2 linked regions of the Stegostoma tigrinum genome follow. The protein of the gene in region 1 purifies or fractionates together with the protein of each later gene. This does not show direct contact. Links are inferred from orthologs where the notes say so. Each region holds a gene or a part of one and is shown on either strand. Other genes may lie near its edges.

Region 1 (3,753 bases):
CAGGTTAGAGAGAAATGCCAACATCACAGTACCGTCTGTTCATTATCATATTGCTTCTTATTGTGAGTTTGATGTCTGCAATGCTTTCGACTTTACAACAATGGCTTCACTACAAAAGTATTTTATTGACTGTTTTGGGATAACTGGTGGTCATGAATGATGTTACATAAATGCAAGTCTTTATTTGAAGACACTACTTGAAAGCTGCTTCTTTGGCAAAGCCTTCGATCATTCGTCCTAATGGGTTGTTATCGGATCTCTCCTGTAGCTATTTAGTTCGAAATAGGTTCAGTTTTGTTTTCGCCTTCTATGAACTCTCTATTTTATCTCAGGCGTTCAACACGTTGCATTAAAACATGGGTTTCGACTCGAGTCTGGGTCCTAACCTCAGAGAGCTGTTACAAATAGAAAACCATGCAGCCAGAGCTCCTGTTTGTTTGATTTGAACTTGCAGTAAATGGGGCTTCATACCAGTAACATCATCCATATCACCTTTGTCGTTCATTGTTTTTGGAATGCTCTAAGACAAATCTCCTCTCAACTTGAGACAGCGCTTACGTGTCTTCAGGTCTGTCACAGGAAGCCAACCCGTGTCCTCCATGAATTTCACTGCCTATTTGCTCATTGTAATCTCTTGATCCCATCAATGATACATCTAATGATACTCCCTTTCTTGCAATTCTCTCTCGCTGGGATTCCCCCTTTCCCTGGGACTCCCCCTCTCTCTACACCTCCCCCTTTCTCCCCATCCCCATTGAGCAGTTGGAAGCCCCACCTCCTCTGACCTCGCCCCATGACGGCTATCCCCGCACCAGGACAGGAATAGGCCACTTTCACCCGCGCCACGAATGCTGGGATAGAGCTGTCTCCATATCTCCCGGAGAGCGGCGCTGAGAGGAGGCAGAGCGACAAGGAAGCGGCTCGGACACCGAGCTCTGCAGGAAGCAAGCGGAGCGACACCAACGCCCAGCAGTCTCCTAGTGGCCATAGAGCTGAGAGAGAGAGAGAGAGGCTGAGGGTGCAGCAGTTCGTGGAAACCAGTAAGTCGTACGCTTTGGCTGAATGATGACCACGGGTCAGGAACTAAAAGAGACTGAGCAAGAAGCCCAGGCTACGGAACTGGACCAGATAGCCGAGGACCTGACACCCAACCAAGACAGGGGGGTGCTTAAGGTAACAAATACAGGCATTTTCTCCGGACATTGAGAGAGAGAGAGAGTCGGACTTTCAGATGTATGGCTTTCATTGAAAAATCATCATTCATTTTAAAATTAACATAAAAGTTAGACTGCCCGTCTCAGAAAGTGACTAAAAATTAAATGAAGCAAATTCTAGACTATTTATTCACATTATATTGTAACTTTATCTGTCATAAACTATTTTGTTTCAATAGTGCAGCAGTGGTTGTCTAGCTAGTCCCATCTCAAAAACTGTTTCTGCTGTGGTTGGATCAGAAACGTACTAAATACGACCTTTTATATTATACATAGCCTACCCGCTTCGTGTGACTAAACCCACTCTGATTGGCACATTCTGTATGTCAAATAGATCAAATGTAGATTTTTTTAAACTCCATGTTTACAATTTCTTTCTCCATAAACTATTGAATGCCCACTCCGTTGTGTCCCTGACCGCTTTATGTTAACGTAAAGCCGAGACATTCCAGCCAATCACAATCGGGAAGTTTCACCGAAGTCTGGGGTGTTACTGAAATGTGAAACGAGAACTAGAGGTGATCGATGTTATTTTGATTTAATTCCGCTCCGAACAGCCCCTACTGTTTAAGACAGTCGCAGGTCCCCGGGCCCATTTGCGAAGCTGTGTGTACAGTCTGCACTCAGGAACCATTCCCAATTCCTCATGACACTGACATTCGCTGCAGATTGCTCTCTGGCCAGAGTCAGCGGTTCATCGAATTTTTTTCTGTCCCAACCGCCACTCTCTCCTTTCACCTCTTTCCAGCCCACTTTGGAGACTGCACTCAGAGCCTCCTCCTGTTTACTCTGGACTCCCGATCGCCAATTGAAACTCCAACTTTGTCCATTTAATGCATAGTGCTCTGAAGAAGGGTCACTGGACCCGAAACGTTAACTCTGTTTCTCTCTCCACAGATACTGCCGGATCTGCTGAGTCTTTCCAACAATTTCTGTTTTTACTTCAGGGCGTATGCACGATGAAGGACCTTTAATGTACGTACAGCATTCAAGCTGTCATCGCAGGTCCAGATGCGGAACCAGAGAGTAGTTTTGTTTTGAAGTGAACCCCAGCATTAGCCCCCGGCACCCCTCCCACCCCAGCCTATCCTCAGACTTTCCTCTTGAACTCCGGCTACAGCTCTCAAAGCCCTGGCTTTCTCGCATCACATGAACAGCACAGAGATGCGCGCCAGTTCAGGGAAGTGCGATATTTGTGGGGAGGAAGGAGTTGCACGCTGACATTACCAGAGAGAACAGAGTAAACCAGTTAGAGTGGAGCTGTTGAACTTACAGATTTGTTTGGTCGCTGTGTCTTCTACGGCTGGGGTCGCTCAGTGTTGCTGTTGAGTCCTACCTCCCTATAGACGTCAATGTGGTGGAGATTTGATGTCTCACCGACGATGACACGATTGTGTTACCTTTGGGTTTCACAGTACCTTGTACTCCATTTAGCTCTCTCAGTAATTCATCTCACTTCTGTTTTTACCCCGATGTCAATATTCAAGGTTTCATTTGTTGCTGTTATTCCAAGATTGTTGATGCCAGTAGGATTATTTTCAATAAGAGTGCTGGCATGTTTTGGGTAATTCTGGATCTGAGTGAATAAACAGTCTTAATGCCTCAGTATGTTTTTCTCGAACCTCAGTTCAATAATCGTATAGTGAGTGAAGCTGATACCAGGTAGAGTTTTATCATCAGTTTAAACATGTTTTTTTTCTCCATCTTGAATTAACTAACCATCTCAAATATCAACCTGCAAAACTCAGGTATGCCCTGTGCCTGACAAAGTGAATCTGATTAGTGATGACTTATGGCTCATGTGTCCATCTGACATCTTTCCATTGTTATTTAATGAGATTTAATTGTTGTTCTGGTAATCATTCCAAATTGCACCTGCCCTGACTTCAAAATGTCCCAAAACAATTTTGAAAGAGTGTGTCTCACTATAGCAATGTATTAAAATCAATTGCCAATTTGTACAGCGCAAACATTCACAACCAACAATGCGATAATGACTAGATAATCTAGTTTAGGTGTTGACTGTGGGATAAATGCCTGCTTGAACATGAGGGACACCTGCCCTCACTCTTTGAAATAATGCATCCTGTCTGGAGATTCACTCCACTGGTACTACTACTGAAAGTCAGCATTCATAATATAACATCCTGGGGTGGGAAGTGAAACCTCGATTGTCCAACTCAGAGGTAAGTTTGCAACTAAGGCCGAACGAAAGTTTCAGAGTAACTTCCAGTCAGCACCTGATTCATTTCTGTGTTTTGTATGTCTGAGTTCCTGTGGTGGTGGGGCAAAATCCCCTCCTGTGGCTCTCTCAAAGTTTCTTGAACAATTCTTTTTTTTTAGTGCTGTGCTGTTTTCATTGTACATTCTGAGTTGCTGTTCAGTTTTATATATATAGCATTTCTTTTATATAAAAGTTGCATACTCATTTTACATTTCCATCATTGACTGTCTTTAACTCTCTTCCAGCTTGAAATGTTGTGGTCCTTTTCAAAGAAATGATCCCTTTTGAACATTACTTTTCTCCACATGTTATCAA
Region 2 (3,753 bases), on another chromosome or scaffold:
CTTGGAAACAGCCAGACAATCATAGACCTAAGGCTGCAAGGTACCTGTAGCATTTCTGGAATCCTGCAACCTTTCTTTCATGTTGCCCGGTGTTCCTGACAAACGTACCTGTTGCTCCTGTGTTTGTCTCAGCATTAACTCCCTTGTTGCCAACATCAATGGGCTCCTCCCCTGGGTAGTGTGGGCAGGTGCCTGTTCTCCAATGCCAATGACCTGGGGCATTTCTCAGTCAGCTGCACAGACCTAGGAGTGACATGCTCATCAGCAGATACTCCCACATCTAGTTGAAGCATTCACTGAGGGGGCAGTACCTGAACTAGTGGATAGGTACATGAGGCTGCCTTGCTGGTATATCCTCTGAGGCAACATGCTACTTTGCTCAGAGATGTGAGGAATGTTGACTATGGAGACCATGCTATTGCTGTTTATATCTGCAGGATAGAAAGGAGACAATGCATTGTGAACAAGGAGTAAAATTTCTAATGTGTTGCAAAGTCATTCACAGTGATGTAATGTAGGAGTAGCACAGGAATAGAGATTGCTTTGTATAGAAGACAGCGAGAAAAGTTACCTCAGCGTACGACTGGATCTTGATCAGATGGGCCAATGGGCTTAGGAGTGACAAATGGAGTTTAATTTAGATAAATGTGAGTTGCTGCATTTTGGAAAGGCAAATCTGCGGAGGACTTATACACTTAATGGCAAGATCCTGAGGACTGTTGCTGAACAGCAAGCCTTGGAGAGCAATTTCATAATTCTTTTAAAATACATTCATCACAGGTGGGCAGGATGATGAAGAAGGCATTTGGTATGCTTGTCTTTATTGGTCAGTGCATTGAGTATAGGAGTGGGAGGTTATGTTGCAACTGTACAGCACATTGGTTAGGCCACTTTTGGAATACTGTGTGCAATTCCAGTCTCTCCTTCTGCATTGTTAGGTGTTTCTCCAAACTCTGGAGTCCACTGATCCAGGTGGCAACCTTATAGGCAGGTAGGGTCTGGTTCCAAGATCACCTCTACCAGGCTGGGGTTGGAGGACGGCCCTCCTCAGCAGCATGCTATCGACTAAAGCTTCCAGGTCCCCTGGTCTACAAAGTGAGGTAGCAATTTTCCATTACCTGCATCATCCGGGGCAAATATCATTGATTACACAGGGCAGCACTGGACTGCCAGCTCTAGATAGGATGCACAATGAGCCGGTGCCAGTAGTCCTGGGACCAATGCTTCTGCTTACTGTGAATTGGCTAGCACTGGCTGTCATGGGCATGGTACCTGGTCAGTGAGTAAGTTTGGGATTGACAGACCTCTCTGGGAGAAACCCTCCATGAAATTTGACAAAATTTCCACAACACAGTCCTTTTACTTAAAAAAAATCTTCAATCTAATCCCACCTGCCAATGGAAACAATGATTTTGTTGACTATCCACCACAATAGTTTGCCCCTGTTATTGACTGTTCTCTGCTGGTCGAGGGGTTAGTCTGAAAAATGGCTGTCCGAGTCGTTGATCTGCTCAGTGTCACGTGCAATAGTAGCAGGTTAGTTAATTTTTGAGCCCAAGCAGTTCTTATCTCATCAGTTTCTGTGAATTGTCTGCTGTCAGTTATGATAGTTACTTTAATGCTAGTAGTGAGTCTCAGTCGTTACTTTCTTCACTGCTGTTAATTGCCGGAGTCGTTGAATTTGTTGCGGAACCTACCGATTATTGTATTTACTGCTTGTTAAGGATGTAGAGCTCGCCTGGGCGTTGTGTAGCCCCCGTACTGACGTGCTGGGGAGACTAAGCCAGCCTAACGTCACCCATTCTCGCACAAGGAAGAAGCTATCACACCGTTTACTGCAGTTCAGCGCCTTGCGAACCTTAGTTATGATCCGGAGCTAAACATAGGGGCAATACAAAGAGGTCGGGAGCCGGACCCGACTAGCTGCAGGTAGGAAAGCAAGCCTCAGGGTAAACCTTTCACTGAGGACGGTCCCAGCGCCTACAGGCCTGCCTCAGCTTTAGGCCTGTTCCCATTTGCCTGTCCGGAGATGTTAGACTGGTCTGCCCCCTGCCCTGGGCTTCCCTCCCGGCCAGCCGCCTCAGGAGCCGGGGAAGCCGCTTGTCCTGCGGCTGTGCCCGGGGAACAGGATGCTAGCTGCCGATGCTCCGCCAAGCGCGTTACGTTCTCTGCCATTCATTAAAATCAGTTCAGAGTCTGGACCGTAAGTTCATAATGGCCTGGAAATCACTGACTTGTACGTGAACGCCCACCTTGTCCTAACCCACGCAAGCTTGCTAACTGATATAATTACCTGCTACTTACCCTTGCTTTTTTCTCCCTTTAACACAGGTTGCTGTGAAGAATAAAGGGTTTCAATCAGGAACCTTCGAGTCAACTTACTTTTAAATCTTTTGTATCACTATGACTGAAGGTACAATCGTGAAAGAGGGGTGGCTTCACAAAAGAGGTAAGATTTTGTAATTGATTCCAGTGGAAGTACACAACACTCTTCTTTCCACGTGTTTAAACAGACATTTTACTATTGTCTAGTTTTAACAAGCAGAGTTGGTAAACAACTGTATTCCTATCAAAGTTTGCAAGAGAGCATCTTGATTTGATATAATTTGCTACAGTAACCCTATTTGATCTTATGGTATCGGTTAAGGGTTTTCTTCTGTAATGTCAGAAGCACTGTCCATAAGGTGCATTTTTTGAATTGTATTATTGATTATGTTTGGTGAAAATGGTAACAAATATAGGCACTTAAAATGTTGAATTGTGAATTAAAACCTCCTTGCTGCATTTACAGTATTTAACACAATAATACTACTGTCAATATTAATAAATAATTTTATTGTACAAAACACTATCTTGCAATAATTTTCACATGCCAATACTATCTAAGTCCCCAGTTATGGTATAGACCTTGAGTGCAGTCTGAATAGGAGGTTCTAACATAAGTACAAATACTGGAATTGAGCTTTTGTGCAATGATGGATGTGGTTTACTCTCCACTTCCTGACATGAATGAATGCCTTTTGAATGATGAAGACATGTCATTTGCCACTCCAGCAATTTCACCACATTTTTACGGTGGAAAAACTGACTCCATTGAGTTCAAAAACTGACATATAGACTCTTTAATCGCGCATTGAAAAAGTTCTATGTTTACTTTGTCAAGAGTACTTGTAATAAAATATTATTGATATGCAACTGATTACTTTTATTATATCACTTGGAGGAGAGTATTGCATTGTGAAATGCTGTCATCGCAATTAATTTCATGGGAGGTATGTCCTTATAACAAATGCCGCACAGTGTATGAAAAGATTCAAGCACATTTATACATTACAAGATAGGATATCTGATATACACATCATAATATTACCAAGATGTGTATATGTATTTTGAGGAAATGTTTTTAGATATATATGTCACTTTGTTAGAATGGCATATTACTTTTTACTTTTATACAGTGCTGCTTAATTTGTGGCAACTGCTATACAATATAACCAGTTGAAGCATAAACTGATGAAAACTATTACTCAATATTAGATAGTAGATGTTTGTGTAGTAATATTTGGGAAAAAAATAGAAATACAAACTTCATATTTAATCAAAATTGTAGTGATAGTGGGCATAAAAACATTTTATCTAGGATAAGTAATGTTGAGTGTGTCCCATTTAATGTAATGGTTTATTTGATACATTTCTTGAAATTAATTTCAATCAAAATATTAACCTTTGAGATTTTAGTATAAATGGGTTCAT

Evidence for each region. The genes of interacting proteins can lie anywhere in the genome.
Region 2: the proteins of peptidyl-prolyl cis-trans isomerase FKBP5-like (region 1) and akt1 purify together in Homo sapiens (affinity purification with western blotting; 3 studies listed by BioGRID, with this or other methods). This does not show direct contact. The link is inferred for Stegostoma tigrinum from reciprocal best matches to the Homo sapiens genes FKBP5 and AKT1.

The regions. Positions count from the first base shown.
Region 1 is NC_081374.1:42,890,277-42,894,029, reverse strand, and holds the start of peptidyl-prolyl cis-trans isomerase FKBP5-like, read left to right. Parts: upstream 1-840; 5' UTR 841-1,062; coding exon 1,063-1,173; intron 1,174-3,753. UniProt on the Homo sapiens protein: Immunophilin protein with PPIase and co-chaperone activities. Component of unligated steroid receptors heterocomplexes through interaction with heat-shock protein 90 (HSP90).
Region 2 is NC_081363.1:42,991,995-42,995,747, reverse strand, and holds the start of akt1 (RAC-alpha serine/threonine-protein kinase), read left to right. Parts: upstream 1-1,429; 5' UTR 1,430-1,536; intron 1,537-1,630; exon of another isoform or gene 1,631-1,929; intron 1,930-2,145; exon of another isoform or gene 2,146-2,203; intron 2,204-2,331; 5' UTR 2,332-2,403; coding exon 2,404-2,449; intron 2,450-3,753. UniProt on the Homo sapiens protein: AKT1 is one of 3 closely related serine/threonine-protein kinases (AKT1, AKT2 and AKT3) called the AKT kinase, and which regulate many processes including metabolism, proliferation, cell survival, growth and angiogenesis.